3 linked regions of the Notamacropus eugenii genome follow. The protein of the gene in region 3 purifies or fractionates together with the protein of the main gene of each other region. This does not show direct contact. Links are inferred from orthologs where the notes say so. Each region holds a gene or a part of one and is shown on either strand. Other genes may lie near its edges. The genes, in order: TMEM9B, TMEM9 and CLCN4.

What was found.
Region 1: the proteins of CLCN4 (region 3) and TMEM9B purify together in Homo sapiens (co-immunoprecipitation; 3 studies listed by BioGRID and IntAct, with this or other methods). This does not show direct contact. The link is inferred for Notamacropus eugenii from reciprocal best matches to the Homo sapiens genes CLCN4 and TMEM9B.
Region 2: the proteins of CLCN4 (region 3) and TMEM9 purify together in Homo sapiens (co-immunoprecipitation; 3 studies listed by BioGRID and IntAct, with this or other methods). This does not show direct contact. The link is inferred for Notamacropus eugenii from reciprocal best matches to the Homo sapiens genes CLCN4 and TMEM9.

Annotation. Positions count from the first base shown.
Region 1 is NC_092877.1:36,417,211-36,427,216, forward strand, and holds the start of TMEM9B (transmembrane protein 9B), read left to right. Parts: upstream 1-5,224; 5' UTR 5,225-5,359; coding exon 5,360-5,485; intron 5,486-9,220; coding exon 9,221-9,312; intron 9,313-10,006. UniProt on the Homo sapiens protein: Enhances production of pro-inflammatory cytokines induced by TNF, IL1B, and TLR ligands. Has a role in TNF activation of both the NF-kappaB and MAPK pathways.
Region 2 is NC_092873.1:439,455,031-439,465,448, reverse strand, and holds the start of TMEM9 (proton-transporting V-type ATPase complex assembly regulator TMEM9), read right to left. Parts: upstream 4,161-10,418; 5' UTR 3,973-4,160; coding exon of another isoform or gene 3,392-3,972; intron 3,309-3,391; coding exon of another isoform or gene 3,207-3,308; coding exon 3,114-3,206; intron 836-3,113; coding exon 744-835; intron 1-743. Other genes in the region: IGFN1 (immunoglobulin-like and fibronectin type III domain-containing protein 1), read left to right, coding at 3,205-3,308, 3,392-3,972. UniProt on the Homo sapiens protein: Transmembrane protein that binds to and facilitates the assembly of lysosomal proton-transporting V-type ATPase (v-ATPase), resulting in enhanced lysosomal acidification and trafficking.
Region 3 is NC_092876.1:381,961,960-381,971,942, reverse strand, and holds the start of CLCN4 (H(+)/Cl(-) exchange transporter 4), read left to right. Parts: upstream 1-5,767; 5' UTR 5,768-5,895; intron 5,896-9,983. UniProt on the Homo sapiens protein: Strongly outwardly rectifying, electrogenic H(+)/Cl(-)exchanger which mediates the exchange of chloride ions against protons.

The sequences.
Region 1 (10,006 bases), on a different chromosome or scaffold from region 3:
AGTGGCCAGCACATAGCAAGCACTATGTAAATGCTAGTTATTATTATTATACAAATATGAATAAAGTACAGTCCCATCCACAGGTTTCTACTTCCCAGAGCTCACGAGAAAGCTAGTCCCTGCAAGGGGTGGAGGGTAGTTTTCTGAAGGGCTGTGGGAAAGCCTAGAGGGAGTCTGGGGCTGGTCTCACCTCACTCTATGCTTTCTGTTCGTTTCTCTTGACTTTTCATGGCTCCTGGCCTCTTAGGTCGAGGTTTCAAGGCTTTCTTGGGGTTAGTTCAACTGAATGAAGATGTTCACCCAGATCGACTTTCAGCAATGAAATCCTTTGGACTGAGAAGTTCAGAATCTCACTAAAACTCAGAACTGAGGCCTGCTCCAAGGAAGATAGTTGGGAAATGGGCCTTGGATGACTCAGAGGTGAATTCTCTTAGTCCATTTCCTTGGACACTGAAGTCCTAATCCCACAGAAACCCATCCTGCCTAGGGCAACGGGCTAAAACAACAACCCTGACACACTTCCAAGATGTCGCTGTGCTAAGATATAGATCCTCTAAGGCTAAGAAGGCCCCTGGCTTCACTTGTTGGGGTCAGGGTCCAGCACATGGTCTGGTATCAGGTATCAGAATCTCCTCAGTTTGAGAAATTCAGCAGCACGAATATCAGATGCTTCATCGATACTTTTTAAAGAGAATGATTTCATATCACAAGGGAGTCAGGGGTGTTTGGGGGAACTTACAGGAACCAACGGACGGCTGGGCCTGTACTTTGGACTGATGAATCATCATCCTCTCCACAGTCTTTTGCTCATATTCCCCAATGCGATTCACTTCAATAAGCATTTATTAAGTGTTTACTATGTGCCAAGCACTGTGTTAGGCACCATGGACAAAAGGTAAAAAATGAAGAGGTCACAGTCTCCCAGGAATTTTCAGGGTGGGGATAAGGAGCAGAAAGGATAATGACAGTATGTACATAGATAATTACATAAAATAAATAGAAAGTAATTAGTAATTTGGGAAAGGGGGATGTCTTGTAGAAGGTGGAGCCTTAAAGGGAACTGTCGAGGTTGGGAGGGGCAGAGGTAAGGAGAAAAGGCATTACAGGCCCTGGGGGCAGAGGATAAATTATTATAAATACGATGCTGGGTAAATAGAACCATTTGGAGGTCAGTTTGGCTGGAGGGCAGAGCGGTTGTGAGAGTAATGTATAATTAGCCTGGGAAAAAAAGAGGTTGGAACCAGTTTGTGAAGGGCTTTAAAGGCCAAAGGGGTTTGCATTTGTAAGGTAATAGGAAGCCCTGCTTCTTGAACAGAGGAGTAATGTGGTGGAACTTGTGCCTTAGGAATATCTCCTTGGCAGACAGGGCCTGAGGCTGGGAAGGAAAGACCCCTGAGGGGTTGGACTCAGACCAATCCTAACCAACAGAGACTGTCTTAGACTACCTCAGGAGATCGCCAGAGTAGGATTGTTGTTGTGTTTGTCCTTTGTTGTCGAAGAGGACCATGACATCAAGATGACGACATGACTTGCAGTTGACTTTGATTTGAGGGAGGGAGGGCTGCCAAGGATCGGTGCCTCATCTGTCAAGCAATGTTGACAATCTCATGGAAACTGATGTTTCATTTAGGGCTGTGATGGTCAAGGCTGGGGCAGAAGGCACAACCTCAATCTGGGCTTGTCTGTTCTGAATGGTAAGTTTCACTGTGATCCTTAGCCCTTTCAGGTCACCAGCTGCCTTGGCAATGTCACCACCATCCTTTCTGGGAGACAAACCCAAGGGACCAATTTTAGGAGTGAAAGCTGATGTAGCACCAGCTTTACCACTGGTGCACCTTAAAAACACGACTTTAATTTCATGAAGATCAAACTTGGGCGGCATGGTGGCAGTGAAGGTGGAGGCTTGGCCTGGAAGCTGCAGGGTGGCTGTAGGTGTCGGCTGAACCCTGATTCTGGATGACGGAAAGAAGCTGCATCTTCACCACCACAAGCAGGGAGCCAAAAAAGCTGCTTATCCCCCTCTTGAGGAGAGGGTAGAAGAAGGAAGGAAGGATAGAATTTGGAGCTCAAACCTCAAAAAAATGTTGAAAAATTGTTTTAATATGTAATTGGGGAAACATGAAATTTTAAAAAATGTGAATCTTTTTGGATTTGAAAAGCAAGTGGGTCCCACAGTACCCTTAAGAGTCCACAAGCACTCACATCCCACAAATCTATATCGCTAAAAGATTTACACAGTAATTTCCACACAATCCTGAGGCAAGGGAGTTGAGGGAGAATTGTTTTTATTTTACAAATGGGGAAACTGAGGTCTCAAAAGTGGAAGATGCCCTTCACACAGTGGCAATCAGGAGTAGAACCTAAGTGTCCTGACTCCAAGTCTAGTCAATCAATAAACATTGATTAAGGGCCTACTATGTGTCAGGCACTTCACTATGCACTGGGAGTATAAAGACCCAAGTACAATGTGGCTTAGAGATCTTTTTCTGTACTAACTTAAATGAGAGGAGAAGAGATAAAAGGTGAGTAGGAATCACTGACAGACAGGGCAGCTGGGGGGTATCAGGAGGATCTGAATTCAAATCTGATCTAAGACACTCACTAGCTGTAAGACCTTGGACAAGTCACTTTACCCCAATTGCCACAAAAGAAAGTTATGGGTCATTTGTACTGGGTTTTGTTTTCTTGTTCTCTCAATGTGTAGGAGAGGGGGTAGTTGGAGAGGAAGAACTTGGAACTGAAAATGAAATTGAAATGTAAAAAAGAAAGTTATCTGTTGACTGTGGCATACTCTTTGATCCAACATATTCCAGAGATCAAAGAAAGACACACACACATACACACACACACACACACACACACACACACACACACACACACACACAATTTCTTTTTGTAGTGGCAAAGAATAGGAAACTAAGAGGGTGTCCATCACTCAGAGAATGGTAGAACAAATCATGGTATATTAATATAATGGAACACTATTGTGCCATAAGAAATTATGAAAGAAATGGGAAGACTTGAATAAACTTTATTTTAAGAATTTTAAAAATATTTTATTTTTTCAATAATATATAAAAATAATTTTTAGCATTCATTTTTTAAAATTTTGAGTTCCAAATTCTCTTCCTTTCCCCACTCTCCTTGAAAAGGCAAACAATGTTGGGGAACAATTTTTACAGCCAATGTCCCTGGTAAAGGCCTCATTTTAAAAATATATAGAAAACTGAGTCAAATTTATAAGAATACAAGTCATTCCCCAATTGAGAAATGGTCAAAGGATATGAATAGGCAGTTTTCAGATGAAGAAATTAAAGCTATCTGTAATCATATGAAAGAATGTTCTAAATCACTATTGCTTAGAGGTGAAAATTAAAATAACTCTGAGGTACTACACACCTATCAGATTGACTAATATGACAAAAAAGAAAACAATAAATGATGGAGAACATGTGGGAAAATTGGAACACTAATACATTGTTGGTGGAGTTGTGAACTGATCCAACCATTCTGGAGAGCTATTTGGAACTTTTCTCCAAGGGCTATAAAACTGCATATACCCTTTGATGTAGCAATAGCACTACTAGGTCTATATCCCAAAGAGATCATAAAAATGGGGAAAGGGTCCTACATGTACAAAAATATTTATAACAGCTCTCTTTGTGGTGGCCAAAAACCGGGGAATGGCTGAATAAATTGTGGTACACGAATGTAATGGAATACTATAAGAAATGATGAACAGGAAGACTTCAGAGAGGCCTGGAAAGACTTATATGAACTGATTCTGAATGAAAGGAGCAGAACCAGGAAAACTCTGCACACAGCAACAACCACAGTGTGCAAGGAATTTTTGTGGTAGACATTACTTCACAGCAATGCAAGGACCTAAAACGGTCCCAGTGAACTCTTGAGGCAAAATGCCTTCTACATCCAGGGAAAGAACTATGGAATTGGATCACAGAATGAAGCAGAATATTTTCTCGTGTTATGTTTTGTTTTGTTTTGGTTTTCTCATGGTTTTTCCCATTCGTTTTAATTCCTTTAAATAACATGACTAAGGTGAAAATGTATTTAATAAGAACGTATGTGTAGAACCCATATAAGATTGCACGCTGTCTTAGGGAGGGAGGGGGGAGAAAAGGGAGAGGAAATGGGAGAAAATCTAAGACTTATGGAAGCGATTGTAGAGAACTGAAAACAAATATTAATTAAAAGAGAGATAGAATAAAGGCATCTATGCAGTGAATTCAATGGAATATTATTGTGCTATAAGAAACGATGAGCAGGAGGACTTTAGAAAAATCTGGAAAGAAATGATGGTGGGTGAAGTGAGTAGAAGTAAGAGAACATTGTATACAGTAATAGTAACAGTAACATTGCGTGATGACCAAGTTTGATAGACTTAACTCGTCTCAGCAATTCAAAGATCTAAGACAACTGCAAAAGACTCATGATGGAAAATGCATCCACATCCAGAGAAAGAGCTATGGACTCTGAATGCAGATGAAAGCAGACAATTTTCCCTTTTTTTTGGTTGTTTCTTTCTCTTGGTTTTCCCCTTTTGTTCTGATTCTTCCTTCACATCATGACTGATGTGGAAATATGATTCATATGATTGTACATGGATACTTTGTATCAGATTGCGTGCCGTCTTGGGGAGGGGGAAAGCAGGGAGGAAAAGAAAATCTGGAACTCAAAATCTTATAAAAGAGCATGTTGAAAACTATCTTTACATGTAACTGGAAAAAAGAAAATACTAGTAAGTGGCAAAAAGAAAAAGCAAGCAATTTGATTTAGCGTGTGTAAACTTGTATAAACTTAAGCAAAGGTAGCACATCAGACCGCTTTATACCATAACAGCACTGTGAAAGCCAACAGCTCGGCAAGACCGAAGAATCCTGATCAAAGTGGCGCGAGGCAGCCGGGTGGTTCAGCGGTTAGAGCTGGCTAGACCTGGGCTCCAAGGCAGGCGCCCTTGATGGACCTCTGTGCGCTTCAGTTTTCTCCGTAAAATGCGGACGATAGTCACTGCCGCTTCCCAGGATGGGGGTGAAGATAAAATGAGCGGTTATTTGGAATCTGCAAATGGCTAAGCGAACGCCGGCTGTTGTTATTTCAATGCCATAGTCAATCAGCATCCTGGAGGAGGCAGCGTGCGGCCACTCCCAGAGGCAGCGAGCCAGGAACGGGGCGGGGGGGGGGGGAGGGGAAGGGAGGGCGGAACCTCTGCTCGCCGGCCCCCAGGCGCGCGGCCGCCGTTTCCGGGGGGAAGACCTTCTCCGGAGGACGCGGGGCGGCCGAGGCGGAAGTGCTGGGACGGAAGCGGAGCGGCGCCGAGGCCGGGCCGGACCGGGCCGAGATGGCGGCGGCGGTGGCGGCTGGGACGACGGTGTGGAGCGGCTTCCTGCGGCTCTGCTTCGTGTTCGGCCTGTCCTTCCTGGCGCTCACCGGGCTGCTGCTGGTGCAGCTGGCGAACGCGGCCAAGGTGAGGCCGGGCCGGGCGGAGGCGGGGGCCTGACCGGGACCCGCGGACCCTTCTGCGGGGGTCTGGGGGGCGGGCCTGACCGGGACCCGCGGACCCCTCTGCGGGGAGCCTGGGGGGCGGGCCTGACCGGGACCCGCGGACCCCTCTGCGGGGGCCCTGGGGGCGGGCCTGACCGGGACCCGCGGACCCCTCTGCGGGGAGCCTGAGGGGGCGGGCCTGACCGGGACCCGCGGACCCCTCTGCGGGGAGCCTGAGGGGGCGGGCCTGACCGGGACCCGCGGACCCCTCTGCGGGGAGCCTGAGGGGGCGGGCCTGACCGGGACCCGCGGACCCCTCTGCGGGGAGCCTGAGGGGGCGGGCCTGACCGGGACCCGCGGACCCCTCTGCGGGGAGCCTGAGGGGGCGGGCCTGACCGGGACCCGCGGACCCCTCTGGGGAGAGCCTGGGGGGCGAGCCTGACCGGGACCCGCGGACCCCTCTGCGGGGGCCCTGGGGGGCGGGCCTGACCGGGACCCGCGGACCCCTCTGCGGGGGTCTGGGGGGCGGGCCTGACCGGGACCCGCGGACCCCTCTGCGAGGCCCCTGGGGGCAGGCCTGACCCCACCGTTCAGAGGAGACTGAGGCAGGGAGGGTGAAGTGCCGGCGCCGTGGCTGAAGAGCCGAGTTCGAATCCTGCCCGCGCACTTCCCACCAGAGGAAGCCCTAATTCCAGCGCCCACCCCCCAGTCATCTCCTGTTTATCCTGTACACATGTGTTTGCTCGTTGGTCTCCTCTTTCGGGTGTAAGCTCCTGGAGGGCGGCGGCACCGTCCTTGGCACATAGTGGGCGCTTAGTAAGTGGTTACAGGCTGCAGCACCCTGAGCGCGTCCCTCAGCCTCTCTCTGCCTTCGTTTACGTCCTCTATAAAATAGGGATAATAATAGTAACGGCCGGCCCTCCCCGTGAGGGTCCAGGGTGATGCTACTTGGAAAACGCTTTGCGGACCTTGGCACAGTGTAGAGGTGCCAGCTGTTCATCGTCGCTGTTGTTTTATTGTTACTCTTGGGGTCACACAGCTTAGCGTTCCTGGAAGCCGACAAGTATTTATCCAGCTCACCCTGTGCCAGGCGCCCCCTGCTCTCCTCCTCAGAGCTCTGGTCCCCACAATTTGGACCCCAAATGGGGTCCTGATGGAGGCCTCCCCGAGGTGCCGGTCCTGCCAGGAGCCCCTGGAGCCACCAGCTGCGACCCCCCTCCGGAAGGAAAACAAAACAAGTCAGATCCTGGGCAGGACGTTCTTCCTATTTCCAAACCTAACAAGGAGACTCCTCCTCACCCCTTCCATTCCCAAAATTCTAAACCTACAGGAGCTTAAGGTTGGTCAGAACAATACAACATACACATATATATGTTTATATAAATATGTAAACACAAGAGAATTTTTTTCCAAATCAGCAAGAATTTATTAAGCACTTACTATGTGCCTGACACTATGCTAAGCTGTAGGGATACAAAGAAAGGAAAAAAATAGTCTGTGCCCTCAAGGAGCTCACAGTCAAGTGAGGGACACAACACGTAAACACCTTTGTACAAACACAGTTTCTCTAGGATAAATTTGAGATAATGTCAGAGGGAAGATTAAAAAGGTTGAGTTGCCCATAATTTTTGTGCTTCCCAGACTTGCTGGCTGTGTGATCATGGAATAATCTTGTAGTGTGTTTCCGTCTCTGTGAAATGGGATGGTAGTGCCTCCCTTTCAGGTGGTTATGAGGATCAAATGAGATCAAATGTAGAAGGAGCTTAACACAAGAGAATTTAAGGAGGCTTACGGCACTGACAGTGCAGGAGAAACAGGTAAGGTTTCCATGGCAGGTAGCACTTGATTTGAACCTTATAGGAAGCAAAAGAAGTGAAGAGGCCATGTATTTCCTGGTGTGGGGGACACCTGTGTGCAGGTACTAGTAGGTTGGTGTGGCTGGAATGTAGAATGTATGAAAGGAAGGTCTTCTGAGAGAAGACAGGAAAGTCAGGGCTTTAAAGGTCATAATGAGGAGTTCATATTTAAACCTGGAGGAAGTAGGAAGTTATGAAGATTAGCCCAGGTGAGGGGTGAACTCTTGGCCAGAACCAGGGTAGTGACTGTGTGCCAGATGCAAGATGTCTGGTGGTAAAATCTACAGGAGTTGAAAAAGAATACTCTACAGGGGATGAGGGTAAGGGAGAGCAAACGTCAAGGAAAGGTGTGTTAGAACAGGGACTTGAAAGCAAATCTATAGTCACTGAGTAAACATTTATTAAGTGCCTACTCTGTGCCAGGGTCTGTGGACTGGGGATACAAAAACAAAGAATGAAACATTCTTTCATCCCAAGGAACTGACATTCTAATGGAGGAAACAGCAAGTAAATATACAGAATGCCTCAAAAGTCTTATTGCAGCTTTGCATTTTAGTAGTTTTAGTAGCTTAAGATTGCCCTAAAACGCTGGGGACACACTGTGTAAGTGTATAGGGAATAGATACAAAGAGGATGAATACAAGGTGGTTTGGGAAGGAACTAGCAATTGAAGGGCTCAGGACAAGGCTTCATATAGAACTGTGTCTTAAAGGAAGAGAGGGGTTCTGTGAGGTGGAGGTGAGGAGGGAGTATATTCCTACCACAGGGATGGCAGGTACAAAAGCATCAGGATGGTGTATTGTGTGAGAAAGAGAGGATCACCTTGGCTGGGTTGCAGAGTGCTGGAGAGGGAGTTGATCTAAATTGATTTAAGGGTTTTTTCTACTATACCACACTGTCTCCTGTTACACTTCTTTGGATCCCTGGAAGCACTCCGTTTCCTGAATCTCAGGGCCTCCTCCCTTCCCAGCTCTTAACCCTTAAAGACATTCTGACCTTTTGAGTGCTTTTGGCCTAAAGTTTTCTCCTTCCCTTTCTGCGTTTGACTATGTGGTTAATCCCAGGTTGTACAACACTCCCTTTTTTTCATTTTCTGGTTGTCAGTGATCTCTCCCTCCTCAAATTATGTACTTCCTGAGGCAGCCCATTTTATAGTTGGACAGCTCTAATTGTGAAGGCCTTCTTTACATGAAGCTTATAGTCTTCTGCCCTTTTGGGCTAAGCTTAATAATTCCTCTTCCGCATGACAGCATTGAAGGTATTTGAAGATTGCCTTTCCAGTCTCCTAATCAACACTAGCTTGCTTCTTGGTCATCATTCTTTTGCCAAGACTTTGACCCTAATCCAAAGAGAGTTTCCTTGACCTCCAGTTTCTACATCCCATAGCCTTGTCCTTACAACAAATGGATATGCTGGGAAGAACTTTTTACCTGTCAGACATATAGAATCTTTATCTGTGTTCTTCCCTTCCTGCTTGTAAATGGTATCCTTATTCATCAACATTGTTTTATTAGGCTTTCTGCTGACCTTGATGAAACAAGAAATTCCCAGTAAATTGGCTATAATGTGATCCATAAAAAGTGGTTAAAGATTTATAAACGCCAGATGTTTTATAATACTAATTGTTGTAAAAAGAGAAAAGTATCTTTTATGTAATACTTTTAGGTGACAACTCAAATTAAACTCACTAGAAAAGAATTCTGCTTAAAAAACTACCTCATTGTTGGAGTTTTAAAATTTTGGAATACTTCTAGAGTTCAGTCAGCAGAAGGTACTTTGTAAAGTGTGTCCTCTTAAATATGGTGCATGTTAATGTATTACATAGCAGCATTTTGATGCAGAATGCTCTGTTTTGGTTGCAGAATTTTGAAGATGTCCGCTGTAAGTGTATTTGTCCTCCTTATAAAGAACATTCTGGATACATTTATAACAAGAATATAACTCAGAAAGATTGGTGAGTATTCTGAAATGTTGAGCTAACTGTGAAATCTCTTTCCAAGGCTATTTTTACTGTCCTAGAATTACTGCCTACTGTAGGTAGAATTTTTTCTTCTTCAGCAATAATCTAATCTTTTCACTCCTAGAAAACAGTCACTGTAAAGAGCTGATTGGATCTGGCAATGCCTATTGGAAGTAAATGTCAAAATAACGTAAGCTTGTGTGCTTTATGTATACTTTACATATATTCTCAATTAATCCTGTCAACATATTGGTGGTGTAGGCAATACAAGTAATCTTATCACCATTTCTAAGACTCTGAGAGGGTAGTAACCTGCCCAGGGTCACATAGCTCATGGAACTGCAGCCAGAATCAAGAGCTTCTCAGTCTAGTAGTGTTCTTTCCTTCCTTCTGTCCTTCCTTCCTACTTTTCTCCCCACTCCTTTCTTTTTAGTGTAGCCAAATTGAATTTACCCAGGAGATGAGGTGCTCTACTTGAGTAAGGACTCCAAAATGTCCATAATCATCTTCTGTATACTTCTCTTTTTTTAAAAATTAATTTATTTTAAACTTAAATACTAAAACCTAAGTACACAATAAGAAAAGAAAAAGAAATTATTACAAACTTAAATGCAAAATAAGGAAAAAAACATTGCCATGTACACAGCAGAACGTAAGAGATGATTCAAACTACCCAATTTTTAATAAC
Region 2 (10,418 bases), on a different chromosome or scaffold from region 3:
TATTTTCTTCCCTTCACCCTCCCCCTATCTCAGAGAATACTCTGCTCCCCCAACTTTCCCAATCTCAGTCTAAATGTAGCACCACAGACTTAAATTTAATAACCGGCCATTTGCCAAACAGCAGCTAGGGGGTAAGGCAGACAGAGTGTTGGGCCTAAAATCAGGAAAACTCATCTTTCTGAGTTCAAATCTGGCCTCAGATACTTACTAGCTGTGTGACCCTGGGCAAGTCCCTTAACCCTGACTGCCTCAGTTTCCTCATCTATAAAAATGAGCTGGAGAAAGAAATGTGGCAAACCACTCTAATATCTCTGCCAAGAAAAGTCCAAATAGGGTCATGGAGAGTTGGACACAGCTGAAATGATTCAACAACAACGAAATCACCAAACCACTTCTTTTGGGAGACAGGGAACCCAGGCCCCATTTTTGATGATAGAGTGACTCAATAGAGCTTACTTCCTCAATCTCTCCAAGAAATAGCTGTTTCCCCAGAGATCTATGAAAAAACAGTTTCCAAAAGATCTACAATTAATCTTCGACCCTAGATGTGGCTGATGAGTGGCAGAGTTACAATCTAACTCAGAGGCCATCTAATGCAACCCATAGTTAAACAGCAATGTCCTCTAAGCATTCCTGGCAAGTAGTGGCCTCGGCTCCATCTGAAGCCCTAAAGGACAGGCACACTGATGAATTCCTGAGGAAGCCCCTGTGAGGAATGATGACTGAACTGAGTAGTGCCTTACCAGTCTTTCTGTGACACATTCTGGTTGTAAATGTGTCCACTGATGTTACGATACGGTGGGCAGATACATTTGCACCGGATGTCTTCGGAGCTCTGGAAGAGAACAGGAAACGAAGATCAGGTTGGGAGGCAGGGCACCAACTCCTAGCAAAAGCCCCTGCCTTGTGACTCCCCTATCAAGCCTTGTTAAGCACTTCCTGTGTCTCAGACACTGTGTTAACAGCTTTAGAATGATCTCATTCAAGCCACAACTACTCTGGCAGTTGGGTATTATTATCCTCATTTTAGAGTTGAGGAAAATGAGGCAGACAGAGGTAAATAACTTGTCCAGGGTTATACAGTTAGTAAAGGTCTGAGGCTAATTTGAACTCAGATTTTTCCTATTCTGCTCTATTCTCACCATCTACCTGCCTAACAAGCATTTATTAAGTGCTGACTATGTGCCAGGAACTGGGGAAATAAAGGGAAAAACCAAGGTCTTCTTAGCAAAGCTTTCTCTCTGACTCAGAATTAAGGCTGCACTTTTCTTTAATACTCATCAAATTTGATTTTGCATCTTCATCTTTCCTGGACCTAGACTCAGCTAGCAACAGCCTCCTGTCCTGAAAGAAAGCTGCAGGCTTGAGCACTGGAACAGAGCAAGACACTTAGAGCCTAATCTTGGCTCTGCCACTACATAGCTGTGTCCCTGAGAAAATCCCTTAACTTCTCCAGGTCTTAGTTTCCATATCTGTAAAATGAAGAAACTAGACAATCTCTAAAGTCCTTTCCTGCCTAAGATATGTGGTTCTAAGTGGGACAGCTAAGCGGTGCAGCAGATAGAGCAAGGGCCTTCAGTCAGAAAGACCTGAGTTCAAATCCAACCTCAGATATTTACTAGCTATGTGATCCTGGGCAAGTCACTTGACTCTGTTTGCCTCAGTTTCCTCATCTGTATAATGAGTTGGAGAAGGAAATGACAAATCACTCCAGTATCTCTGCCAAGAAAACCCTCAATAGGGTCACAAAAAGTCAGACACCACTGAACAGCAATAGGGGTTGCCTTTCTCTAGGGGTCTGGAGAAAGAATGCCTAGGTCTGTGAACTCTGGAGTGGAGTGGAGTGGAGGTATGATAATTTCACAATGAGGTAAACTGAGGCAAAGCCACAGAAAGGATGCTTGCCCCTTGACACATCTCTATCCTGGTCTTCATAACAACAACAGTAAAAAACAAGACTGACTTTTTCACAGCACTTTAAAGTTTGTAAGCACTTGACATTATCTCATCTGAGCATCTGAGGATTCTGAGGAACAAGTACTACAGGTCTCCACCTCCCAATTTTATGATAAAGAAAGCAAAAGTTAGAGTTAAGTAATCCATAGCAGTCAGAGACAGCATTCCAACCCAGGTCTTTCTGACTTCTTGTATGTCCTCTAATCTAATCACTCAACAAGCCATTTATTCAGTACCTCCTTTGTGCCAGGAATTGTGTTAGGTGATCACTGGGAATGATTAAAAGTACAATAAATTAAACAATGTCATTGAGTCTTTTTAGACTCTTCATGACCCCATTGAGGTCATTTTACTTCCAGATGAGGAAACTGAGGCAAACAGAGTTAGGTGCCTTGCCCAGGGTCACTCAGCTGCTGTCTGAGGCTGGATTTGAACTAGGAAAGATGAGTCTTCTTGACTCCAGGCAAGACATTTTATCCACAGTGCTACTTATCTGCCCCAAATGACACAATACCTATGCACAAGAATTTACTCTAGAATGGAAATGACAACCAGGATATATATAAGTATATGCAGAATACAAAGGAATAAACACAAAATTAGATACAAGGCAGGGACCAGAGAAAAAAAAAAACTTCTCACACCAGGGATTCTACTATCACTCTACCTCTGTTATAGCTCCCTGAGGGCAACGGCTGTGTCTCATTGAATTATTGCAGCTTCTCCAGCCCCCAGTACATTACCCTGTAAACAGTATGTCCTTGATAAGCATCTATTGAACCGACGACCAAGACAAAAATGTTCATTTATTAACCGAAACACAGGATCAGAGAATTAATATTCCATTTTAAGGTTTATAAAGCATTCTCCTAGCAACAATTCTTTGGGGGCAGGGGGAGAGCAATTTCTCTCATTTTGTAATCTGAGGAAACTGAGGCTATGAGAAGCAGAAGCCAGTGGGATTTAGGGCCGAAATTCAAGTCTTCTGACTCTAAGAGGACCGGACCACGAGACCTGGCGTAGATCTCCCGAATCCCCAAAGTACAGAGGGACTTACAGGTACTTTTAGGGAGGGCCAAGTCTGCGCTAGGTTCTGGCCGCCGCTACGTAAACCAGCAAAGCCAAACCTCCCCATCTGCCCAGACCATAGCGCTCACCTTGCCGGCCTGAGCTGGGGGGATGGCCAGACAGCAGGCCAGCGCCACCAGGGGAAAGAGCTTCATGCTTGTCAAGGCTCGCTGGGTCAGCATGACCAGTCACCTGGAAGAGAGACAAGGAGCTGGGGAAGAGGGAAGTGAAAAGCGGGAAGTGAAGTCGACATTCACGTTTTCCCCCAAGTCCCCAAAGCCCGAGTGACTGCACCCTGCTCGACTCGGCTCGGAGGCAGGACGCCTGGGTTCTTTTCTTAGATAAGTGACCCCTTTCTGGGTCTCAGGTCCCCCCGATCGTCAGAACGGGAGAGAATAATTGCTGGGGGAGGCCCCCGACTCCTATCTCTACGGTGCTTCGAGTTCCTCGGGCAGCGCGGATCCAGGCTGACAGCGCTCCGCCCGGACCCCCGGGCGCACCGCGGCGGCGGCCCCGGTGCCCCTACCCCCCGCTGTGCGCTTCCCGTCCGAGCGCCTGCATCCCTGTGCATCCTGTCCGCATCCCGGTCCCCACTCTCCGCCCCAAGCTGCTCCAGCCTCTGCTCCCCGGCGCAGGCCCGGAGCCCCGGCAACCCTCTCCAGCCCCGTCTGAGGCCAGCTCTAGCAGTCAGAGCCCCCCGCGCCCGGCAGAGACGGGCCGGAGCCGCCCGCACCCCACCCCAGGCCCCGGGGCCCCGAGCCCCCGAGCCCCCGCGCCCCTCCCCCAGCAGTCCTGCGGCGAACCTCCGAACCTCTCCACATCAGCACCGGGCCCAGCACGGCCCCGCCCCACTGCAGCTCCTATTGGCTCTTGGAGGTGCCCTTCTCCCCGACTCAGGCTGTCTCCACGGCAACAAAGACCCGCCTTCTTGGGGGGGGCGTTTGGAAGGTACTGCCAGGGATCGGAGGGCATTTCTTAACCCCAAATGGGCAAGAAAAGGGAGCGTCGCCGAACGAAGGGCAGAAAAACCGAAGTCCAGAACTGGAAAGGTCTATAGAACATCCACAGATTGAGAACTGGAAGGTGCCTGGCGTCACCTTGCCCACCTGAAACTCGAGTCCACCCTCCAGCCTCTCAAGGCACGCGGTCCTCCTGCGTAGAGAAAAGAGTGCAGGATCTCAGGTCTTTGGAGCTCTCTGCGCAGCCTTCGGCAAGTCACCGCCGCGGCAGGTTTGGGGAGAGGTTTGGATGAGAAGGTTTTCTGAGTTCTCCTCCAGCGTTCAGCAGACCTCGGACCCTCTGATCCAAACTGCGCGCTTCCACTGCCGGCGAGATCATCCAGTTTCTGTCAAAATGCTTTCCGATTTTTCCAGCCATTTTTGTCAGAGTCCTTACCCCCAGTAGGGGGTGTCCTTGCATTTTGCAAGAATTAGGCCACTGTGTTTAATTGTTTTTGTTTTTTTGCAGATTAAGTACAGAGAGAATGACTTATCCAGGGTCATTAGACAATAAGTATCAGGGGTGGGATTCCTAACCAGCTCCTGCTGATGTAAGATATAGGAGGCCTTCCACGTTGCCTCTAGAGTTTGAGGAGCTTTAAAACTAACTCTCTTGGCAGGCAGTGTGCCCTGACATCTCTCTGCCCTACTTCCCACCCTACACCCATCTCAGCCCAATTTAGAGGTGTATTAATGCTATTCAGAAGTACGGGGCTACCTGATGGACTTTTAAAAGGTGGCATGCATTCATTCTTTTAAAAAACTACTTATCAAGAGCCTATTGGGGCCTCAGGGTGTGCATCACCTGCTCCGTGACTCCCAATTAGTTTATGATTCAGTAAATTGTGAGCGGCTTGAGGGTAAGAACTGTTTTGAATATCTGTTGCAGTGCTGTTGGCTCCTTGTTTTTGTTTTCAGTGCAAACCCATAATTCATCATTGTAGGGAACTTCTCCAAGGCAGCTCACTGCACTGAGGTCCTACTTATCACTGCCCATGGTTAGAGTCTCTGAGAGGTAAGGGGATGTGCCCCTTGTCACATAGTTAGTATTCAACAATGGTGGAATGTGAAACTGACTTCAAGGACATTTTTCTGTTGGCTATGCTGGATACCTGGCACACAGGAGGTACCTGATAAATGTCTGTTGATTCAATTGAATTCCAAACCTGAAGGCCCAGGCTAGGTTCTACAGGTAGCAGTAGGAAGTACCCTTGTGACCAGCATTACTGCTTTTGAGGTCTCTGTGCCGAGAGAATCAAGTGGCCAGCTAGAGCACTAGGCTCAAACCTCTCCACCCACATCCTCTGCAAATTTTCAAGGCACAGAGATTGGAGCACTAAGTAAAGTGAGCTGGAGAAAGAATGATAAACCACTCCTGTATCTTTGCCAAGAAAACCCCAAATGTGGTCACAGAGTTGGATAAGACTGAAATGACTGAACAACAACAACATATAAATTATTATTAGTCTCCTTTTATAATGTATTTACCTCTAGAGAATATATTTTGTATATCATTCCCTGAAGAATCTTAGAATGTTAGAGCTAAAAGTGGCTATAGATATCTAGTCCAATCCTTTTATTTTATAGGTGGGTTGATACCTTATCACTTTCCTGTGAATCACTTTATTATTTTTGTGAGTATGAATTACTTGAAAAGAGGAAGAAGAAAAAGGAGAAGAAGAAGAGGAAGAGGAGGAGAAGAAGATGAAGAGGAAGAAGAAGGAGAAGAAGAGGAAAAAGAGAAGAGGAAGATGAAGAAGAAAAAAGGAAGAGAAGAAGAAGAGGAGGAGAAGAAGAAGTTCTTCCTATACCTGTCCAAGGGAGTAGCTACTTGGCACAGTGGATAGGGTCTTCCTGACTCTAAACCTGGTACTCTCTCCACTGTGCCACCTAGTTACTCCTACGCATCTAAACCAAAGTATTAAAATACTTGGTAATAAGGTAGCTATTCCTCATATATTCAAAGTTGTCAAGGGAAATATTAAAGATTTTATCTTTATCATATGCCAAATGTAATATATGCTATATATAATGTCCACTGCACATATATGACACCTCATATATACTATAATAATAAGAGTTCTTAATGCGAGTTCCAAGAACTTGTTTGTAAAAGAACTTTGATAGCTCTGTTTCACTAAAATCAATATTAAAGCTTTGTAATCCCATGCATTTGAGTTAGGCATTTAAAAACATTATTCAGAGAAGAGATTCATGGGATTCAAGAGACAACCAAAGGCATACTTGATACAAAAAGGTTAAGAACTCCTACCATAGACCCATTTCCCAATGTACAATTCTCTCCCAATTCCAAATGAACTTAACAATATTGAATCAAAGGATCATTTTATTTAATTACTTCAAGAATCTATTGTTTTATTGGTGTGTATTTTCCTTGTACAGATACCTATTGTCCCCTCCATGCCTGAGTAGACTGTCTTCAAGAGTTGATGTAGCCAAAAAATGAAAGTCATGGAATGACCAGCCATCTGCTAATGAGTCTCTTTAAACTTAGGTAGACTGTCCTTAGAAAACAAGCAGTCTCTATTGCCAACCTATAGTTGATACTTTAGAACCTTCCAGAATTTATACTCCACTGCCATTGCCTTTGAGAACCCAAGGTCACCTGGGTTCAGGAAGAATAGGACTTTAATGAAAGGTTCAATTTTATATTTATGGAAGAGTAACCCATGGCCTATTACCAAAGGTCTAGATGCACACAGAATATCTTCTTTCTTGAAAGCTACTCATCATGATTTATGCCCCCAAGTCAATGTCTTTCTTGTGAACAGCAGAATTTGGCTTATTTCTGTCATATCCTCTGCTCCCTTGTAAACACCATGCTAAAAAAACAAAGCAGAGAACAAAAACCAAATTTATCACATAACATAAGGAATAAGGAAAGGACATGTATCTGAACCCATATGCAGTCCAGAAAAATGTCCCTTTCATCCAAAGAATCATTCCAAATTTATGGCTCCACACTAGGAGCTGAGGCTTACCCCCTCAAAACTAGTCAGTAGAAAATTAGCTTCTCCCCTTCACACTGACACCTTGACATGACTCAGAATCAGTGAATGACAAGGATTGAATTTGTTCCTTCTCACTGTGGTTCTGCACCTCAGTGCTGGTTAGTTGTAGTCCCTCCTTGGGGCTAGTCCCAGTCTTTGAGCCCAGGGTTCTTTGAGGCACAGATCTCTCCTTCTGGAATTTTGTTACTCTCAGGTTGTTTCGAGCTCTGCCCATCATCTTCCTCTCTCTTGCCTGGGTATAGCTCTGCATATTCTGGCTCCTTGCTCTGGACAGCACTTGGAGGCTTTGCTCAAACTGTACCATCACTTCCTATAAAGCTTAAATTTGCTACTCCTGCTTCCTAGGCAATGTAGGAATTCTTTCAGAATAAGACTTTTCTTAGATTTCCTCCCACAAGTACATGTAGGGGGTGTTCCAAGATGACTAGCATCTCTGATGTAAGGACCCTTTTTAGGGTTGCTCAGCCACCTTTGGTGTCTACCTGGCACTCAACTCCAAGAAGTACTAGTATGCACAGTGGCCCCCACTAGAAAAACCACCTCAGCATGGGGCTAAATCATGGCAAGGGTAACCACTGGGCCTCAAACCTGTCAGGGAGTTAGGGGGGTGTCTACCCCAAGCGTGTGAGGACTTTCCCCAGCAGAATGTGTGGATGAGAACATGCTATTCCAACATTTCTGAAGGTGGCTGAAGCAGGCACTGTGGAGCACTTAGAGCCTGATCAGATATAGAAGACCTCAAGGTCATCCCCTGCACCCTGGGTCATTGCCAGACTTTTGTCTTGTCACTGGACTTTGATAACTCTGGAAGAGAGAGTAGACTGACAACGTTGTACAACTCTGCCTCCCTTAAATCCAAGTCATGAGCAAGTCAAGACACCATCCTATGATATCACTGGTCCTCTTTGAAAATAAGGACAAACAACCTATCTTTTTACAATATGGTGCTATCTTACACATCTTTCTTCCTACCCACTTTCCTTTTACTTAGTCTTATCCTTTAGAATAAAGTATAGCTTTCTAAAGATTTATTTCAGTTGTGTTATTAAAGTTGTATTTCAGTCATCTTACCAAGGTTCAGTTATATATATATACACACACACATATATGTATATATATATATTAGGGTTTTAAATTTACCTCCCTGTGTTAGACTCTCTGGAATTCACCTTGTGTGACTCATACTTTGTACATTTGTGTAAAGAAATCTGAGCTCATGTATTTTTTTACTAGCTCTTTTTTTTTTGGATTTTGTGGATTTGAGGATATGATGCGGTTCTTTTGACTGCACATGCCCCTCTGTGTATCAAGCTTGGTGGATACATATAAACACTTTGCCCTTTTTCTTTCCTTTAAGTTAAAGCCATTTTGATTAGATTTTTCTAAGACTCTAGACAAAATCTTTCCTCTTGTAGAAACTCATACTTTAGTCTTTCTTTCTCTCCCTTTTCTTGTTTTCACATCAAAACTCTTCTTCCATTTTGGCCAGCTCTTATTAGGTGCACTCCATCACATTAGAAGCCTGTCATTGTTACATTTTTTTTTGTTGCAGTCACTTCTTAACCAGTCCTTTACTTCCTAATTCTATCTCTCTCTTCTGAAACCCTTACTCTCAGTTAGTAATAATGATGAAAATGCCACCTGAACCTTCTCCTAAGATATTTATTGTCTTACCCACAACATTCTAATGCCTGGAAATGCTTTTATATTCTTTCTTAAATTATCATTTGTTCCCACATCCACCCCACAAGAGGTGGACTTGAAGTTTCACAAGTTTATTATTAACTAGCAGCTAACAAATTGCTACCTTGGTTCCCTGCAGCACGGCCCTTCTCTTTTTCATCTATCCTCTTTAGATAATGTCTTATCTTATGGTGTCCTGTGGGTACAAACTGTCATTGTTTTGGAGGACAAGTGCAAATCTCTTTTTGGGTAGAATCTCCTCTCTATTGCTTAGTTTCGAGAGGTCGGTCATCCTTCTCTCCTTGATGTCATCCTCCAGCCTCCTAGCACAGATCAGAGCTACTCTCCCTGCCTCTTCTTTATTTTCACACTCAAAGTCTTTATTCCATTTTATTAAAAAAACACCCTTCATTTTTTCTGATAACTTGAAGGGTAGAGGGTCAGGCCTTGAGTTCCTTTACTTTCTTTTCTATGAGAGTGACCATCCTATCCTTTGAGCATGGGTAATAGTCAATTAATCATGCCAGAAATACATTTTGTTATATTCTCTAGAAAACCTCTCCTACTCTCCATACTTACAGGTAGTGAAATCTTGGGCCCCTTGTTATTCTTGCTAGTAGCGCCTCTGTTTAACTGCTGTGGCAAACAGCTAAGTATCTCATTTTAGCATCCTTTCCTTTGTCTTGCTAGCTTCTTCCTTGTTTTCATCAATTACTCTTCTTTCTTTTCTTTTTTGGTTCCATCTCTTTCTCTTCCTACTCCTTGAGTTCTTCTCCTTGTTCTGATTCAACTTTCTCTTTTGGTCCTTCCTTGGATCATCCTCTTCATTGAATTATTTTCTACTCTAACTAGTTGGGTTCTTCTCCTTTTCCCATTCCTCAGCTCATTCTTCCACTCCTTCCCTAGTCCTTCTGCTTGAGTCTTCATTTTCTTCAAATTCTTGTCTTACTCTTCCTCCAACTTCTCAAGTCTCTCCAAATTTACCTTCTCCAATTTCAATCTTTGGCTTTCATAAAAACCCCCAGATCCTTCAAATCTCCACAATTCCTTCTCATTCTTCAACTTCGGTCCTTCCCTTGCCTTCCCCCCATCCAACTGTATCCCAACAAGGCCATGAGACCATTAGGAATACATTAGTACTATTTAGTTTGCCATGGAATCTGGTCTATTGGGATCAAATCAGTTGATGTGCTATACAAGAATTCCTTCACAAAATAGAAAGGGGAGAAAAGAGGAAAGCCCTTATTCTTTCCATAGTAAAATAGAGAAAGTATCAGCCTTGGAATCAGAAGACCTGGGCTCAAATCGTAACTGTTATTTCACCTATATATCACAAAACTTCTGTGTCCTTTGGTTTCCTCATCTATATAATAGAGTTGGAACGGATGATTTCTTTTTCTAAACACTGTCATTTACATTTGAATCATTTACCCCATAGCCCTATGTTAATCTCTTTTTAAAATAATGTTTTATTTCCCCCTCAATTACATGTAAAAATTTTTAACATTCAGGTTTTTTAAAGTTTTGAGTTCCAAAGTTTATTCTTCCTTCCTTCTCTTTTTCTCCTTCCTGATATAGTAAGCAATCTGCTATAGGTTATACATATGCAATCATGTAAAACATATTTCCATATTAGTCATTTTTTGGAGGGAAACTCAAAAAAAATGAAAGAAGGAAAGAA
Region 3 (9,983 bases):
AAGGAGATGAAAAGATGAAATGTGGAGAATGAAGGTTTCTGAGTTACTGTTTCTGAAGAATCACTTAATGTAAGAGGATAACCATTTGTTTTACACCTTATTATAGGGCAAACAGAAGAAACAAAACTAACAAAAATAATTTAAATCAAATTTAAAAATTGAGATTACTTTGTACATTAGGATAATTCCTGGATCTATGCTCTTAGAGATGTGAGTACTTCTTCTACTAGTGAAAGACACAACCCATTCACTCCTCCTCTTGTGCAACTCTTGTCTATAGTGTTACATAAATTTTCCACAAGAAGTGTGCTGCGTTGGTATCCATGCAACATTTTCTTGCATTGCCTTGCTTTAATTTTTTTTAGGTATAGTAGATATTTTTTATTTTGGCTACCACAAAAAAATGTTTAAAACACAAGAGATTCAAATTGTGTATTATGTATGCTTAAAACAGAAAAAAATAACACATCGTAGTTGTAATACTCTTCCCAAATATAAAGATTATTTTTGGGTACTGAAGAGATATTTCACTTTCACCTCTGACTGGCTCTTTTTGTACAACTCACAAGTATTGGTCTCCTGGATATTCTTATTTCTTCCAGCTCAGCATCCTTCTGGAAGTTTCTTCTGGTGGCAGAGGAACATTTTTTTTAGAAGGAGGCTAGTTGTTATTACAACTTCCCTTGTGAACAACCCACACTGACTCCAGAATCCAGGAACTCTCACACTCACATTGTAGCCACCTAGGCTGGAAATATCCATCTTTTAAGGAATCTCTTTGGTTACCTATTCTTAAAGAAAATCCAGACCATAAAAACCACATAGCAAAAGAGATAGCCAGAGACTTGAGGTCCAGTCTCAGGTTCACCTAGGTAGGTACATTTTCTTGATGGCACTCATGATCTTGAGTCGTAACCACCATCGCTTCTTAAATTGGAGGGAAAAGAAATCTCTCTTCCTCCATTGTTGAAAGTCCAAGGGAGAGGCACAAGCTCCAAGTAACATGCTCAAAAGAATGGATGAGAAAGAGTATCCATGCAATATTAAGAAATCTAAAAGGTCTCTAGAAAGTTAGCTTCACCTCCTCCCTGAGTTTTCAGGACATGGACAAAGCTATGCATGGTAGTAGGAATGGATGAACTTTGATCAACATCGTTGAAGGCAATATCCATAATGATGAACTCACTGATCCATTGGAATACCAAAGAAATAAATAAAATATATTTATTAAATAAAACAAAGAAATGAAATAAGCATTTTTTAAAAAAATAAAGAGCTCAATAATTTTGTTATGTGATCACAATAACACATTTTCCCAAAAGTATTTTTTCTTTTTATTAGTACCTTTTATTTTCATGTTACCTGAATCCTCCTTTGTAACAAAGATTTAAAAACAGACAAAAAATGGTAATTTAGCAAAGTTATACAAAATAACTGTTGTAGCATATGCAATACTCTGTACTTACAAGAGGGATGTGTAGTTTTTGATTTTGTTTTATTTTCATTCAACTTTTTTTAGGTTCCAATCTTGGTATGACACTTAAAAAGCCCCCAGAAACTTTGAAAAAAAGAAAGGAAATAGACTCATTGCTAATAACAACTGCACTGTGTGAATGAATACTTTTTTTGTTGTTCAGTCATTTCAGTTGTGTCCAACACTTTGTGACCCTATTTGGGGTTTTCTTGGCAAAGATATGCTGTAGTAGTTTGCCTTTTCCTTCTCCAGAAGGTAGATTAATAGCTAGATTAATTTTTCCAGCTACATATGCATGTAGAGGAGTCAACAACATTTTTATTTGTGAATGTGAGCCGCAGCATTTTTGCACAAATGTGTCATTTCTGACTTGATTCAGGTTTTGCCTCCACTAGGTCAGAGAAGCTGGTACTTACTGATAGCCACAATCCAAGAAACAGCTGCTACAAAGAAAGTGAACTGCTTTCTCATAGGTTTGCTTGTCGGTGAAGGAGGCTGTGACTGAGCAGGCTGAGGAAAGAGGGATTACCAGCTAGCCCAGGACATGTGATGACTTGGCTGTTTACCCTCTGGGGCATTCTGGGAACATTAAAGGCATAATCTATATTTAACTCTGCCTGTGAAAACACAGTGGGGGAGTTTCAGTCCTTCTCAGTCACGCTGGTGGTAGTTCAAAGTTGAAGTGGATTTCCATAACATTTTCACATTATGCCCCGGGAATCATAAACCAGAAGGTAAGCTATTTAAATAATATGCAATAAAATTCAGAAAATCAAACTTGAAACAGCTTCTTTTAAATCTGGCCTTGCAAACAATTGCAATAGCTGTGTAAACTACAAGGACTGTAGGTGTTCAGAGATCAGAGAACTGTAGTCTGAAGGGAAAATGAATTGATTTGGAGGAAAGGTTGAAGAGAGTTGAAAAAAGGACCAGAAAGTAAATAAGGAAGAAAAGGAAACACCAACTGGTATTAGGAAAACTCCACGTTATTTCCCCAAACTACCACTATTTTGTAATTCTTTAGGAGGGGGCAAGAATTTCTTGCCTTCTCGATTGGTGGGGGAGGTGCTGGAAGGAATGAGAGAATATGGAATTAAAAATTAGTAAATAAGTTTTAAAAAAGGAATAGGGAAGAGAAAAAGAAAATACTGTAGTTTAAACTAGAGTGAAAGTAATAAAACATTCTATAAAAACAAAAAATGAAGTCCTAAGAAGGCTACTACTGCATTTGAGCTTACATATTTTGAAAATATTTATTTTCTAACTATTTTGAGATGGTATAAAAATTCCACTTATTTACAGCATAAACTCTACATTTCAGGAATTCATTTCAAGCTGCTCCAAGTAAAACTGGGACCACAAACAGATTTTTGTCCTAGTCAGCTGAATTTCTTCAGTGAATGAGAAGTTGACATTGTACATATTTTCTGTCTTAGCAAGTTGACTCACTTCTTAAGATCAAGATAAAATTATGACAATGTGAGTTATCTCAGTAATTACTAGAAGTTTATTCTTAGAAAAATCACCATATTAAAATTCCTTGCTTTAAAAGTAAACACATATGCACATAATCCATTCTTTAATTTTAAGTTATAAAGCAGTTGTGAGTATAAGTTGTGTAAGTCTGTGATATCATGTATGTGTCATTTTCATATTAAAATGACACCAAAGATTTGGTATACACGGCACGCATGCATTCACTCAAAATCTCTAATAACTTAGTTTGAAGTCCATTCATGCTGGAATACTATAGTAATTATGTTAGTATTTTTAGCACATAAATATATATGTATGTGTATATTTTTTATCATAATTTTAAGTTACAAATCAGTAGTATAAGTGGTATAATTCTATGACATATGTGTGTGTGTAATATCACAAATACGTTATTTCCTATGCATAAGACAGGTACTGTCCTGTCTGTGACTTCTTCTATATATAGGATATATCTGTGATTTTTTCTACACACACATATATAATTTCTTCTATCTATAGACACTGATTTCTTCTCTATATAGGGTATGATACATATCTCCTATATATAGGACAGGTACTATGCTGTGATAGGAGATCTATAAATAGAGATATCTCTCACAAATACCCTATCTCATATATAGGAGACATCAGAGACTTTCACCATTCCTACTAACTACTGATTTGTAACCCAAAAGTAAAAACAATGCATGAAAGCTGAAAGAACCACATGATTAGTGCAGTATTCCAGCGTGAATGGGCATCAAAAGAAGACGCCAGAAATCTAGAAAGCTGGATGAATGCACGCCTACCGCATGTTTGGTGTCATTTTAACATGAGTATGAAAATACGATTATACTGTTTCTACTTAAGTTAACACGCTGCTTTTTGAAAGGAGACATTCCGTTTCGCTAGTTTTCTCTGCATTCCTGTGTATTTTGCACATTGCCTGACACATAGTAGTGGGCGCTACGTAGATGCTTTTTGTCTTGTGATCCGATATGTTTAATATATTATAAATATTCAATATATCAATATATCACATTATAGGTAATATAATGATGTATTATTAATGTGACAAACACATTACAAATATCAAATATAGTAATATATCATTAACATTATAAATATCAAATGTATTATTAATATATATGTAGCATTATATGATATATTACTAATATATATTATAAATATTCAATGTATCAATATATCACATTATAGGTAATATAATGATGTATTATTAATATAACAAACACATTACAAATATCAAATATAGTAATATATCATTAACATTATAAATATCAAATGTATTATTAATATATATGTAGCATTATATGATATATTACTAATATATATTATATTCAATATATCAATATATCACATTATAGGTAATATAATGATGTATTATTAATGTGACAAACACATTACAAATATCAAATATAGTAATATATCATTAACATTATAAATATCAAATGTATTATTAATATATATGTAGCATTATATGATATATTACTAATATATATTATAAATATTCAATATATCAATATATCACATTATAGGTAATATAATGATACATTATTAACATAACAAACACATCACAAATATCAAATATAGTAATATATCATTAACATTATAAATATCAAATGTAATGCATTATTAATATATATGTAGCATTATATGATATATTACTAATATATATTATAAATATTCAATATATCAATATATCAATATATCACATTATAGGTAATATAATGATGTATTATTAATATAACAAACACATTACAAATATCAAATATAGTAATATATCATTAACATTATAAATATCAAATGTATTATTAATATATATGTAGCATTATATGATATATTACTTATATATTATATTCAATATATCAATATATCACATTATAGGTAATATAATGATGTATTATTAATATAACAAACACATTACAAATATCAAATATAGTAATATATCATTAACATTATAAATATCAAATGTATTATTAATATATATGTAGCATTATATGATATATTACTTATATATTATATTCAATATATCAATATATCACATTATAGGTAATATAATGATGTATTATTAATATAACAAACACATTACAAATATCAAATATAGTAATATATCATTAACATTATAAATATCAAATGTATTATTAATATATATGTAGCATTATATGATATATTACTTATATATTATATTCAATATATCAATATATCACATTATAGGTAATATAATGATGTATTATTAATATAACAAACACATTACAAATATCAAATATAGTAATATATCATTAACATTATAAATATCAAATGTATTATTAATATATATGTAGCATTATATGATATATTACTAATATATATTATATTCAATGTATCAATATATCACATTATAGGTAATATAATGATGTATTATTAATATAACACATCACAGATACCAAATACAGTAACACATCGTTAACACGTCATAAATCTCAAACGTGGTCAGGTATTGATACGTAGCGTTATATGGGATGCTATTAACACACATTACAAACATTAAGTAGATAAATAAGCGCTTTCACTTGCTCTCTTGAAAGTCACAAGGGGACTTAAGTTTAGGGTCTCAGAAATAACTGTTTTTTCCTCCTTCCGTTCCACGTGGCACACGGCTGCGTGCAGACACACCAGAGGGATCCAGCAGGTCTCAGCCCACGGCCCAGAAAGCTCGGAGCGAGGCCGACGCCCCGCCAGCCCAGAGGCAGAGCCCGCAGCCTCCCCCGTGCGGGAGGACCCGCCGCCCGTCGCTCCCCGCGCTCCTCGAGGGACGCTCGGGGCGCGGGACCGCGTCACGTGGCCCCGCCGCGCTGCCTCCCATGACGTCACTGCGTTGGCAGCCGTAGCCGCGGAGAAAGGATGCTCTCTCAGTCCGGGCTGCGCTGAGCGATGCTGCACCGCAGGTAAGAGGCCTCGCTTCCACCACCTGCTCGGGTTTGGACTTTTTCCCTTTCTGCCCGTTTTCCCCTCCCGTCCCTGGGTGCCCCCGTGCACGGTTAGGAAGAGCGGGGTCCGCTCGTTGTAGGGACAGGGGAAGCGTGCAGGTGCCCGGGCCGTGTGCCGGCCCAGCTGGAGTGTCCCGGCCGGCACCCCCCCGCCCAGCGGGGCTGGGCCCAGTGGAGCCCCGGTCCGGGGGTGGGGGGTGGGGGCGCGGGGGCGGGGCTGGCCGGCAGGGGTGGGGGCTGGGGGCGGGGCCGGGTGGGGGCTGGGGGCGGGGCTGGCCGGCAGGGCTGGGGGCGGGGCCGGGCGGGGGCTGGGGGCGGGGCTGGCCGGCAGGGCTGGGGGCGGGGCCGGGTGGGAGATGGGGGCGGGGCTGGCCGGGGGGTGGGATGGGATGGAGTGGGGGCTGGGCATGGCTTCCCTGGCGGACGCTCGGTCCTCAGCTGTGCAGGAGATGGGCAGGCTGGGTTGCGCAGCCTTGGACGCCTTGGCTCACTTCCTGATTTGGAGACGAACAATGCCCCGAAGGCAAGGCGGTCTTCGTTGAGAAATGACCAGGTCGCAGATGCGGGGACGGAAACGGGAAGCAGGCAGGCTCCGCGGAGCCCCCTGCAGAGGACTCAGGCTGCGGTCATGAGCTGGGCTTCTCCCCTTCCGTCCGCTTTCGGCTCCCAGCATTTTATCGCGGACACTTCCTGCTAGTTAACCCTTTAGAGGCTTAGCCATTGGCACGTCGTTCGGTAGCTTTTTGGAAGCCTGGTTTTTCTTAGTTTTATTTGGCAGGATTTTAGAGTAGACATGTTTCTCCTGGATGAGTGTGGGTTTTTTTTTAAATAATGAAATACCTGATTTTTTAGAAATATTGTTAGCCCCCAAAGTTCTAGGAGGGAGGATGATGGCAGCATTTCTAAGAATAAACTGGTTTTTCTTGGGAGGAAGAACTCCAAATGAATTAATAAAAGACTCTAGCTCCCCACGTTTTTGAAGGACTGAATGGAAGCTGGGGAGATTTGCCAGAGGAAGAAAGAGCTGTGAGTCAGCTGCTGATGTGGGAGCAGTGGGGGAGGGCTCAGGTGGCTTTTCTTCAGAGCTCAGCTTTGGCACAGAATTCCTGGCCTGTTTGCTCATAAGGAACTGTTTGTCTGGGAAAAGTCTAATTAGGGAAATTCAACACTCTTTTACATTTCAGGGATAGCAAAGCAGTTCTTTAGAAATGCCCGCAGTCTTAAGTATTTTTTAAGACACTAGTATATCTGTGCAACCAAAAATGGTTTTTGTTCCCATGACTGCTTGCATTTCAAGTCTACTGAATTGCTGTCTTTTTAAAAGGAGTAAAATGAATTTGGATTTGGGATATTTTTACATCTTAACTTGGGACTAACCTGAGAGGTGGTGGTTGTTATCAGTCTGACCAACACCTGAGAAACTGGGTTTACACTGTGTGTGGATATCTGGATTTACATACAGACAAAATTTCACTTTGCAGAAAGATTCCTCTTTAGATAGCCAGATTTTCTTGTGCACTTGAAATGACTTGAGCAAATTTGATTTGCACAAACGTACCTTTTGAGAATTTAATCTGCTATGTCAAGGGAGATAAGCATGTGGATTACTATATAATATTTACCATGTAAAATTTACAAAGCACTTCCTTCCCAAGGACTCTGAAATAAATAGGGCAAGATTTATCATCTTTTTTTGCAGAGCAGGAACAATGAGATAAAGTGACTGAGATCACAGAGCTAAAAAGAATCAGGGCCAGGATTTGAATCTAAAATCTGACACTTTTTTACAGTGTAATACTATGCAGTATTGAAAAAATAAATTGTTTCTTATTCATAGTGCCTTTCTTATGGACCCTGCACACTTAAATATTATGCCACATGGTTCAGTAGTTCTTAAAGGCATTACTGGGGGAAGGTAGTGCGCATTAGTACCCTCAGCAGAACCCTGTAATAAGTTGGAGACGTTTAATCCAAGGAGGAATGCAGCTAGGTGTTGCAATGGATGGAGTGCTTGGCCTGGAGTGAGGAAGACCTGAGTTCAAATCTAGCCTCAGGCCCTGTAGCTGTGTGACCCTGGGTAAATCACTTAACCTCTCTTTGCCTTAATCCACTGGAGAATGAAACAGCAAACCATTCCAGTGTTTTTACCAAGAAAACCCCACAGGCAGCATATTCCATGGGTCATGAAAAATTAAAGACAACTGAACAGCAATATATAAAATAAATGCAAATATACATAAAAATTAATTTTGTGTGGGTAGGGGGCATACTAGGAACTGGATGAAATTAGGCAAGTTTTCATCTAGAAGATCATCTTGGGATGCTGGCAGTGGCACTAAGGATCCTAAGAGGAAGAAATGCATCCCAGTATGGGGAACAGCTAGTGCAGTGGCAGGAGAGAGGGCTACTTATGAGGAGTAGTAAAAATGCTGTGCATGAAATAAGCTGAGTTGTCAAGAGAGTGAAATGATATTCAGAATGCTCACTAAGATGGAATATTTCCATCAAAAAAGGTTTAAAAATAGTGTGCACTAGTAATTATCAGGAAGAATATCTTATCTAGACTTTCCAGTTCCTTTCTAGTGCCAGAGGCTAGAACTACACCTCTGGTTTCATTGTTAAACAGACTGAGGAAACACCCTCATGATTCCCTGATCATTCTAGATAAGTGAGGCATCTGAGAAAAGTGTCTGTGATCTAGTGGTGTGATCTTGAGCAAATCTGACAATAAATCTCAATGGAGGTTGAGCCTGCTTGAAACTATCACAACTAAAACCTTTAGTATATGCTAAGTATTTAGAAGCTTGAAACGACAACTTTTATTAAGCAAAATGAAATAAAACAAAAAGCCTCAACTTTTTTCCAAAACTTAAACACCAAAAAAAGAGCATTTCATATACACAGCAGGACACAAAAGAAGTTTCTCAGTAAAAGCTTGAACCACCATTTTATACCATTTGCTTTTTAAAGAAAAATATATAATAGATTCTACACATTATTGAAATGACTGTATTTCAGAAGAACAATCAATGATATGGCTTTGAATTCTTCTGGTTTCCATTGGAAAATTTATTGAGAGAAAGGAAGGAATCATTTTTCTGTGACTTCTTTGAGAGAGAATGAATGGTATCTCAAATGAGTAGACTAAAGTACTAATTCTCTTTTTAAAATTTATTTATTTATTTATTTTTAAACATTCACTTCCATAAGATTTTGAGTTCCAAATTTTCTCCCCTTCTTTCCCCTCCTCCAACCCCAAGACGGCATCCAGTCTGATAAAGGCTCTATGTATACATTTATATTAAACATATTTCCACATTAGTCATGTTGTAAGAAAGAATTAGAACTGAGAGGAACCATGACAAAGAAAAAACAAAAAAAGAGCAAATGTACTTCTCAATTCTAAGATGGCAAACACAGTTATTATTAATTGAATGATTTAAGTACCACTGCTTACCCAACTACTCCAGTGGATCTTCCATCTTGATCTTATCTATGTATTCTCAAATGATTCTCATCACAAACGATCCATGCGTGTCTATCCTTTGTGACTCTTTTCTAATTCATCGTAGGGAACTTTTCTTCAGATTGTCTGCTCACTTGCATATCATAATCTAGGCAGTAGACATTTTTCATCCACTTGACTCTTCCTATGTGATAAGTTGGGTCACCCTTTTTTAGTGATTAGCAATCTCCTCTGGGAGATTTCGGTATTCATATAGGAGCAGCTAGGTGGTCTAGTGCATAGAGTTCTGGTCCTGGAGTCAGGAAGACCTGAAATCAAATTCAACCTTAGACATTTGTTAACTGCATGACACTTGGCAAGTTACTTAACCTCTTTGCCACAGTTTCCTCATCTGTAAAATGGGGGTAGTAATAGCATCTACCTTAAAGGTTGTTGTGAAGCTCCAATGACATAATAATCATGAAAGTGCTAATAAGCACAATTACTTGGCACATCGTGGGCCCTATATAAATTGTCATAGGCATTGATACAGTTAGCATAATTTCATGGATAAACGGAAGCATCTGAAGGACCTCAACTT